Linked DNA regions of Danio rerio. The protein of the gene in region 1 purifies or fractionates together with the protein of each later gene. This does not show direct contact. Links are inferred from orthologs where the notes say so. Each region holds a gene or a part of one and is shown in the gene's direction. Other genes may lie near its edges.

Region 1 (5,319 bases):
GATCATTTTGTGATGTAATATACAGCCCTATTGTGCAGCAGGACCATTGTACAATTTATAATTGTCCTTTTCTACTGTTGCTTGTTAGACTAAGCATGTTCTGTGAGATTATCCAAAATGTTTGTGAATTTATTTATTTATTTATTTTTCTCTCTTCCCCTCAGCTTAAACCATGGCCTTTGATTTATTAAATACAAAGACTTGTGGTGACAGTGACACTGCTTTGTTTAGGGGAAAACCTTTTTTGTGTTGTTTTTTCTGGCTTATATTTGCTGATATGTAATTGTTCAGCTAAATTTCATGTTTATTTTATGGAATTCACTGTTATTTGTCAATCGTTTTAGGGAGGAGAGGAGGAGGAGGAGGCAGAGCGTTTCAGTGAAGAAGAGGCCTCACGTCCTGCTGCAGAATCCAAACCTGTTGCAGATGCTCCGACAGAAGAGCTTGTTGAAGGAGAGGAGAGAGATGAAAGTGTGAAGGAAGTTAAAGCAGATGAGAAGGGGAACCTTGCCGGCGAGCGACAGAGTGGAGACGGACAGGTAAGGAAGTACAGAACATTCAGTCTTTTGCTATGCTAAATTCCTGGCAGGATTCAGTTTCTGTTTTTTGCGGAAGTTGTAAGGGTGTGCAATATTTATGCGATAATATTGACGTTATGGAATCTGACACCACACCATCACAACTATTGACTGTGTGAAAGTCTATTAGAATTGAGTTGATTTGCTCTTCAAAATTAACTTTAAACAGAGTGATTCCTGTTTTGATGTTTGTACAATATTATACAATACAGTTAAATCCGTTTCACAGAGCAATGTAAAATTTGCAGTTCTGCTAACATGAAGTGGATAGTTACATTTATTATTCTTTAATAGAGCTGTGAACCTACACTGGTCTCATGGTTCGGTTACAATTAACATGCCATCGATTCGGTTTAATTCGATATCACGGTGCATTGTCAATGCTTTTCTATACAGTTTTATATTTTCTTCACAGTACAGCAACTCTTGTATTAAAATGTGTCAATATTTATATATTATTTTTAATACAATTTTGTCCTTTAATACAAACAGTCAGATATATAAACTGTGCCTATAAACAACACGAGCATTTATAGCAAATAAACACATAAATATCCCGCTCGCTTTCTGAGTTCTTGGTCACGCGCTCAACTCAAAGGGCTGCGATTGGCTCTACGGGCTGGCGTTGTTCACATAGAAGTAAAGCCTGGTTTAAACACAGATAAACGGCAGCGGCGATCCATGATAGATGTTAGGGAGAAAACTCTGCAGACATGCGCTCGTGTCTGTATCCAGAAGTATCGCTGTAACAGCTGAGAGGAGAGGAAAAGTGATGCCAACAGGTCAAATGGGCCACAGTGAGAGAGACAGAGATGGAGTACTTTCTCTCAATCGCAGTGAAATAGGGGTTTCTGCTGTAATTGTCAGAGAAAGACTGTCCAGCAAACACACAGTTTCTGTGTTTTTAAGTAGCTGGAGCATTGTAAATACTCGCGCTCCCCTCCCTCGTCACAGTAAGCTACGGCGACATAGCACATATGACGTTAATGTCACTGCTTATTAACCGGTTATGATTATTACTGAACCGATACCAAATTGTCCGTGTCTGCATCACACTGCACAGAAGAAACAATTAATTTTGACACCCATATTCTTTAATAATTTTTGTGTTACTTTCTGAAATACTTTCTCATACTTTGTGTGTGTCTGTTTTTATTTTATTTAATTTTTTTTAAGTCACACTGTAAAGCCCAATTTATACTTTCGCCGACTCCGCATCGCAGACCTCCGCTGACTGTCTTGGCACCTCGAGTAACAGACAAGGCTTTTATACTTGACTTGTTCACCGTAGTGATATTCTTTAAAATGACAGGGGATGGTTAAAAAAAAAACAACAACTGTAAAATCAGACAAATTAACAGATGTGGGAAGTTTCTGGAACTACGTCATTTCATTAATATCAGTCAAGATTTTTTTAACTATTTTTTTAAAATAAATAATTTATCATAATGATTATAAAGATTTTTAAAACAAATTAAATTTTTTTTAATCTAACTTTATTACATATCTTGCTTTTGTTCATATCTCAGACAGTTCTGCCTATTAAAGTTCAATATCAGTGACAACAGAACATGGGTTGCTCTACAAATATATGTTTTTTTATTATGGCAGGAATAAAAGCCATAATTTTATTATTTTTTTAAGAATTTGCCCGCTCTACAATACACACATTACTGTCTGACTAGTTTGTGTCCTCTGTGTCAAAGCAATAATGGTCCAACATTCCAGACCATTATTATCAATAAAGCTAAGAAAAACACGGCATCAGTATATTTTAAACCGATAGCTCTAAAAATTCCTTTCCCGTTATCAAACAAATAATTGACTTCATTTTAGTTTTGTAACTAATAAATCATTTTAAGTTCAAAATTGTAAAATGTACATCAGTGTATGACCTATGAATGGTTTATTTTTTTATTTTTAACAAACTTATCACTCAAGTTTGTTTCCTGTAATCTGCTTTAATGCGTATGGCCACCCCACCCCTAACCCCAACCCCCAGTGACATAATTTTGTAGAATATGTGCAAGGAAGGAGGAGCTGAAGCTGAGCTCTGCCTAAGTGGCTCTGCAGTGAGTACCACTAGAGTTTTTCTAAACTTTTTAACAAAAACATAACTTTTTTTTTTCCACGGCTGTTGCAATTTCTAGCCAAGAATTATTACTCATCATTATCCCTGTTATCATGCATGCATGGATGGATCATATAGATGTCGTACCTGTTTTAGACTAGATCTTTTCAAAGTTTTTCATATTTACTCAATCGAAACGCAGTGCCTCACAAACTGTTCGCTTGAATCTCTAGTTTCATGCACTCTGCCAGACAAAATCATGTCGGTGCACCCAAAGCGAACTTCCACAAACTATGCGATGACGCCACATTCGCCGCATGCACTCAAGCGAACTAGCGAACACAAAGTATAAATCAGTTTTAAGATCTCTGCTGTCATAATGTCAGACTGAAAAACAAAGACATGCCAAACACTGAAGAAAACTCACCCAGAGTTTGATGTCATCCATAATAATAATATTATTGTATATAAGAATATATTAGATAACGAATTTTAGCCTAGGATTTCAGGAACCTTTTAGGATTTCCCAAATTTGTTTTAGATGTCCAAATTGCAGTGTATGTCTCATATTTGGGCTCTTTTAAATGCACTATCAGGGTATCCGCAGAGTCTTAAAGTCTTAAAATCTCTCAAAATCTTAATGTCTTTACTTAAAATATACATTTTAGGCGTTATAGAGGCTTAAATTTTCTGAAATATTGTTGTAGGTCTTAAGTCTTTTTTAACAGCTTCTTAATGATCTGGCCATTAACACTCATATAATCACCAACAAGCTCAATCTCAATTAAACTTAACTTTTTATTTAAAAATTACACTAAACTACTTTCCTTACAGCAACATGTTTAAACATTCTCCATTTATTTACTAATAAGAATACTGACCTGACCCATATTTTTATCGTTATTATTGTATTATTAAGTTATAATAATAATTTTTTTGATAGGGCAAGCGAACATCTTTTCCAATTGGGATATTCAAATAAAACTTTTTAGCATTTAGCCCTGTGTAAGTCTAAAATTTCATTCATATTGGTCTTAAAATGCCTTAAAGTCTTAAGTTTAACTTGGTGAAACCTACAGAAACCCTAACTATACTTGAATCCAAACTGAATTTTAAAAAACCTAGTTATCTTCTGTAGCCTATATAGACTTTAAACTAGACCATTACCTCAGTGACACTTCTGCTTGACACCCAAGTGCTGCTGCTGCTCCCAGTGTAAATGCACTAATCTGACAACATGAATACTGGGAAGAATACACTGCTCATGATGTGAAACTGGCCTAAATGTCATTTATTTATCCATGACAGACCAAAGCGGTTAAAATATCAGCACAAAAACTGTGTGCAGTTGCTTATTGGCAAAATCCCGGTTTTCACACTCTCACCCCTTAGGATGGAATCACATTTAAACCCTTAGCAAGTATTTTAACAGGAACATTTTGGCAAATAATTAAAACAGTCCTCTGACAGATTTAAAGTGTTTGGCTGTGATGCCACAGTCTGCACCGAGACTGTTAAATCACTCTGTCAGTAGTGCTATTGATTGCAAATAATTTTCAGGGCAGAACTCAAGTTAAGACTCAAATGTTTACAGGAAAGCACAGAGGATCCTGAAAATAAAGGCAGTAAAGGCCAGAAGCTGGATGATGATGAGGACAGAAAAAATCCAGCATACATCCCTCGAAAAGGCCTTTTCTTTGAGCATGACGTGAGAGGCCAGGCAACTGAGGAGGAGAGGTGAGGAGGGTTTCTTTCAGACATACATTCATATAATTAATAAATATACAGAATTTGAAGATAAGTTTCAAGTATTGAATCAGTTCTGTGCTGCACAATTCTCACTTTGGTGCCTCCACTCTGTTTGTCCATCTGTCTTCAGGCCTAAAGGCAGAAACAGGAAGTTGTGGAAGGACGAAGGTCGATGGGAACATGACAAGTTCCGTGAAGAGGAGCAGGCACCGAAATCTCGTGATGAGCTGATTGCTTTTTACGGCTATGACATCCGCAATGGCACAGGGCCCAGTGACGGACGATCATATCGCTCCCGAAAACCCAGGTGAGCTCATGGTCATTTCATGTGTATAAGTGATACTGGTGATATGTCAATTTTAATTGTTGTGCTTTTAATGTTTGTTTGTCATTTCTCACCTCCTGATTAAACAGACTCTATGTGAAAGGGGTCCAATCAGTTTCTAAATGGTCAGTTGAAATGCTACTAAAAATTATCAGAAGAGATGGTAAAGGATTGTTGTCAATTCAAAGAAGAGACCAAACCAGGGAATTTTCGGGAATCTTCAAAGCAGAATCCTTTAATAAGAACTTGCTGTTGATGTGGCATTCATGGAAAGATCTCTACTAATTCGGGTCATGGAACCAAAAACTGTTGTGAATTCAAAGAGACAATACCAAGGGAGACTTTCTGGCATCATCAAAGCAAAATCCTTTAATAAGAACTCTGCGTCGCTTTGGCGTTCATCGAAAGATCTCTACTAGTGCAGCCAAGCACTCAGTTTTACATACATTTTTACAGACATATGTAGAGACAGCCAAAACGAAGCATGCAAATGCAGTCCTGGGGTCAGCATGATGTGGTCAAAAGAAGTATTGGGGTCAGAACCCCTCCTGCCACTTGACCAGTTATGTTATGATCTCTAAATATGTTTGGTGACT
Region 2 (5,319 bases), on another chromosome or scaffold:
ATTGAGCCAGTTTGGTGGAAGGGGATGGTTGGGAGGGCATGATCGTAAGAGCCGATTGAAGGACTTTGGCCAGGACACTGGGGTTACATCCCTGCTCTTTCCCGAGAAGTGCCATGGGATTATTAATGACCACAGAGAGTCAGGACCTCGATTTAACGTCTCATCCGAAAGACGGCGCCCACTGACATGTGTATGGATTTTGTATGGATGTGTAAAATCCCTACAAAGTATAGAGCAGTTCTTGTCTCGTGACTCGCGGTTTTGTCACAGTTTTGTTCCATGCATAAACATGCTGTTGAGAAGCCTTTATGATGAATTAACCATGCCAAATTAAATTGCGGTTAATAGTGAAATCAGTTACATCTCTAATTATAATTGACCAGGAGCTGTATTTAATTTCATTGCAATGTTTAACTATAAAGTTTATCCAGGCATAAAAAGGGATGTCTCTAACTTTATGAAAGATTATTATATTTATGTAAATATTAAAACTATAGTATTATTCTACATTTTAAAATGTGTCTATCTGAAGATTGCTAGACTTTCAGAAAATCATAAAGCACTGTGCATTTCATTAGTACAGTATCATTGCTTCACTGTATTTATCAATGTTTGCAATTGGTTTATTGTATTTTTTGCAGATGCTTTCTCTTATAAAATCATCCCAATGTATCTACAATTATAAATTCCTACCAAATAGGTCTATTTATTTTATATGGTGAAATTATACTAAATATTGCAATATCTATTGTAGAAAAATAAAATATCACAATGTCATTTTTTCCAATATCATGCAGCCCTGTTATATAATGTTTGAGACTTAAAATGACAAATACATAAAAATGACAAATTGTAGGTCTTTCCAACAGGGAAAACCAGCAACAATCAATCAAGAATGCATGATTATACTGTCATGGCTTTGCAATCGAAAAATTTTATTATAATGGAAGTCAATGGGGTAAAAACAGCCCCCAACATAACCAAAGGGGAGTAAATTTGGCCAGTCTACTGTTGAGTTTTTGAATAATTCCAAAGCATTTTCCCAAAATATGTGTCAAAATACAATTTATCAGCAAAATCATTAAACTTGCTGAAACACAGAGATAATTGTGGCCAAATTAAGCCTTAAAAATTACCCCAGAGTGGATAAAGAACGACCCAACAGCACACACAGGTATAAAAACAACTTTTATAAAATTGTACATGTGTTTTGTGTGTGTCCAGACGTATCCTGCACTCTAAAGGCGAGCTGAGCGAGGACAGACACAAGCAGTACGAGGAGTTCGCCACACAGTACCAGAAGCTGCTGGCCAACACTCAGACTCTGGCCGACCTGCTGGACGAGAACATGCCGGAACTGCCCCAGGACAAAACCGTACAGGAAGGTGCGACCGCACCATAGAGAGTTTGTGTTGACATATGAGACCACAAAATCAGTCATAAGTGTGCTTTTTTTTTAAAACGTCCACTTTTAAGTAGTTCAAATCAAGTTCTTACCATTGCATAACACTAATCAAATTAATATGATCTTATTCTATTTGGCAAATCCAAATAATGCAAAAGTATTATCGTAAGGTATTTTACAACATGCAGCGTGTGTGTTTTGTGTGGCAGAGCACGGTCCAGGCATCGACATCTTCACACCGGGGAAGCCAGGAGAGTATGATCTAGAAGGAGGAATCTGGGAGGATGAAGATGCAAGAAACTTCTATGAGAACATGGTGGATCTGAAAGCGTTTGTTCCTGCAATCCTGTTCAAAGACAACGAGAAGAGCAGCCAGAGCAGCAAAGGTAGCATCAGGCATTTTTTATGCAATATTTGAAAATGTGCACAGAATTAGGTGGATGGAAACTAGCTAAATGCTGCTTTGTTCAAACATTCTCCAGAATATCTGAACCACTCGAGTATGGCTAAATGGAGAGGACTAATATGTTTTTGATGAACTAATAATTGTGTGTGCTTGTGTGTTACAGAAAGCCGAGAGGGAAACAGCACTGAGGAGCTGGAGATGGAGCTGGAGGCGCTGGACATCGCTGATGAACCGATGGATCTGGATGCAACCGATGAAGTGGAGAGTGAAGAACTGGCCAAAAAACTGCTGGATGAGCAAGGTACAATATTCAAGACAAGCTGATCAGCTCAGCGCAGCTTCAAAACCTCCAGCTTCTGTTATCAATCATTGTTTCTGAGTTTGTTATCTCAAAATGATTACTTTTTATTTATTTACTGAAGTTCTGAGATGCTTTTACTACTATTACTGCTACTAAAAGCTTTTTAAAGTGACTTTTTAAAGTATTTTTTGCTTCAATTCTGAGTTTACATTTAAAATAAGACTAAATAATAGGAAAATAAAAATAATTATTTTAATTATTTAAAATAATAAATTTTTTCAAATTCATATCCTGCATTTTTCTTGTTAATGTTCTTTAATTTAGGTCAGATTTTCAGATGATATCTCATTTGATTTTTAATTATAAAATTGTTATAATTATTATTAAACAAATATGATATTATTACTATTATGATTTGTGGGGATTTTTGATTTCCCTCTGAGTTATGAATTTGTTTGTTAACTGCTAGAAAAAAATAACTAAATGCAGTATTCTAATCTCCCTTGCATATTTTCATTGTGTGTGATCATGTAAGTGTTTCTATGCACTGCTCATCATGTTACTGTCAGTTTCATGAATGAGTAAAGCATCATTGTGCTGTGTTTACAGAGCAGGAGGATGAGGAGGCCAGCACCGGCTCTCATCTAAAGCTCATCGTGGACGCTTTCATTCAGCAGCTGCCAAACTGCATTAACAGAGACCTGATCGACAAGGTGAACGGGCAAAACACACACAAACTCAAACACACACACACACACACACACACACACACACAGATTTGTTAATTTTGTGATTTCTTAACTTAATTATTAGAAGTTAAATATTTAACATTTTTTGTTAAATACTGTAGTGTTTAATGCTATTAATATTTTCTTAATTTTCAAAAGGTTACTTATATATTGAAATTTTATAATTATTCTTTATACTCGTTATATATGCAAACAGTTCAGTTCACGGTTTTCAGTAAATACTTTAAATTTATTGAGATTTTTCTTATGTTGTCTTAATTTTTCTTTTGTAAGTTCATTAGAATTTTTATGACCATTTTATTATTTATTTATTTTATTGTTTATTTGTTTTGTTATTTATTTATTTATTTTATTATTTATTTATTGTTATTAGTGTTATTATTTATTCATTGTTATTTATTTCTTTTATTATTTGTTTATTTATATTATTATTTATTGATTTTAATCATATATTTTTATTTTTTATTTTTTATTTAATTTCTGTTTCTTTTATTCATTATTTTTATGTTGTTTAAAAAAAACAATATATATATATATATATATATATATATATATATATATATATATATATATATATATATATATATATATATATATAAATATACATACATACATACATACATACATACATACATACATACATACACATTGTTTATGTCAGTCTTTAATCAAAAGATTTAATTAATCTTCAATTAATTTCAATCAAAAATGTTGAATAGTTGCAAGGTTAAGATTTTCTGTATATTTTTTTCCCCCAGGCTGCAATGGACTTCTGCATGAACATGAACACCAAGTCAAACCGCAGGAAGTTAGTCCGTGCTCTGTTCACAGTGCCCAGACAGAGGTGTGTGTTTGTGTTCAACTGTGTGTTCATCTGTTCTCCACTAGATGGAGCTGCTAATCTTCTTTCAGTTGTGTTGATGTGTGTGTGTGTATTTGTGCTTCAGGTTGGATCTGCTGCCGTTTTACGCCCGTCTGGTGGCCACTCTTCACCCGTGTATGTCTGACGTGGCTGAAGACCTCTGCTCCATGCTCAAAGGAGACTTCAGATTTCATGTGAGTGCTGTAGTGCATTGTGGGATTGGCTTCTCCACTACTAGTGCTTCCTTTTGAAGTTTGATATTTTATTACATTAATATCTGCATTCTGGAACATAAATAGAGCATCAAAGTACAGCTGGAAAAATCTGAAAATGCAATATTTAAATTTTCTGCCATATATATATATATATTATAAGGTGAAAACTATTTCACCAGATGGCTTGAATAGCTCCATTTAGAAATAATTAATTTAGATTGATAGGGATAATCAATAATGGGATTGAATTATCCATAAAAGTAATAAACAAATTAAAGCAATAGAGAAACACAACAGAGGTATGATAAAAATGATATAAACAGTAGGGCTGTACAATATATCACAAAATTATTAGGATAATAGTATATGATATCTCCATATCGCTGAGAAGTGTACAAAATTGACTGCATTTTAAGTGCTAAGAGTTTGTGTGCTGCATGCATATATTGTTTATCCAGATCTGAAGCCTTACTATCTTCATCTCCACCTGTGGTGAAACGAGCTGAAATTAATACTAATGCTGGGAGACGAAAGGGAGGACAATAATAGGAATCAGATTATCTGCTGGTGTTTTCAGTTATTCGTGGTGTTTTAAAGTCTAAATGTGTTTGTTTTTTTTATTTAATTTAGCTGAGAATAATAGATATTACCTGTTTATTTTAGTATGATCATTGCATATCATACTAAAAGAAGAAATATTGTTATTGCAACACTTAACAACAGTGTTGTATATATTCTCAGTATCATGCAGCCCTTATGAACACTGCTTTATGGTTTTTCGGGGAGTCTAACAGTATTCAGGGACAGAAATGATATAATCGAATGTTAAAGTATAGTCTTCATTAAGACTGTACAGTAAATTCATCTTTATTAAAGTTTCAAACGGATAATTTGTTGTGCCTGAATCCTCTCTTGAAATGCTCAGACAGTCACAGGCCTTAAAAACACATGCAGATGATAAACGTTCACACTGTTATGGTTAAACTCCACAAACCTGATGTGTTCTGAACTGTGGCTATTAAATATGACAGCTATAATTCCAATAAACATTGTGCACCATGCATTGTTACTATTGAAGATATGTATAAGAGTGGATTAAACCCTATTGTCATTTCACATTTACAAGTACAAGGCAGCAAAATGCAGTTCAGGTGTAACCATGAGTGCAATGCTGACAGGTAACATTTACAGATGGATGTACTGTAAACAAATATACAGGTTGTATTAACCATACTCAGATATTTATCAATAGATATCTACAGGTTGCTCTTGATAATCAGGAATATGCAAATAGATATAAACATTATATACAGGTTATTTACTGCGATCAGGAATTACAAATCGATTTGTGTGTCATACGTTTACACATGCATATGTGCAG

What was found.
Region 2: the proteins of casc3 (region 1) and upf2 fractionate together in Homo sapiens (co-fractionation; 3 studies listed by BioGRID and IntAct). This does not show direct contact. The link is inferred for Danio rerio from reciprocal best matches to the Homo sapiens genes CASC3 and UPF2.

Annotation. Positions count from the first base shown.
Region 1 is NC_133178.1:22,191,466-22,196,784, reverse strand, and holds part of casc3 (protein CASC3), read left to right. Parts: intron 1-344; coding exon 345-539; intron 540-4,243; coding exon 4,244-4,386; intron 4,387-4,528; coding exon 4,529-4,705; intron 4,706-5,319. UniProt on the Homo sapiens protein: Required for pre-mRNA splicing as component of the spliceosome. Core component of the splicing-dependent multiprotein exon junction complex (EJC) deposited at splice junctions on mRNAs.
Region 2 is NC_133179.1:1,376,342-1,381,660, reverse strand, and holds part of upf2 (regulator of nonsense transcripts 2), read left to right. Parts: intron 1-1,224; coding exon 1,225-1,385; intron 1,386-1,614; coding exon 1,615-1,791; intron 1,792-1,974; coding exon 1,975-2,112; intron 2,113-2,721; coding exon 2,722-2,825; intron 2,826-3,619; coding exon 3,620-3,705; intron 3,706-3,808; coding exon 3,809-3,917; intron 3,918-5,319. UniProt on the Homo sapiens protein: Involved in nonsense-mediated decay (NMD) of mRNAs containing premature stop codons by associating with the nuclear exon junction complex (EJC).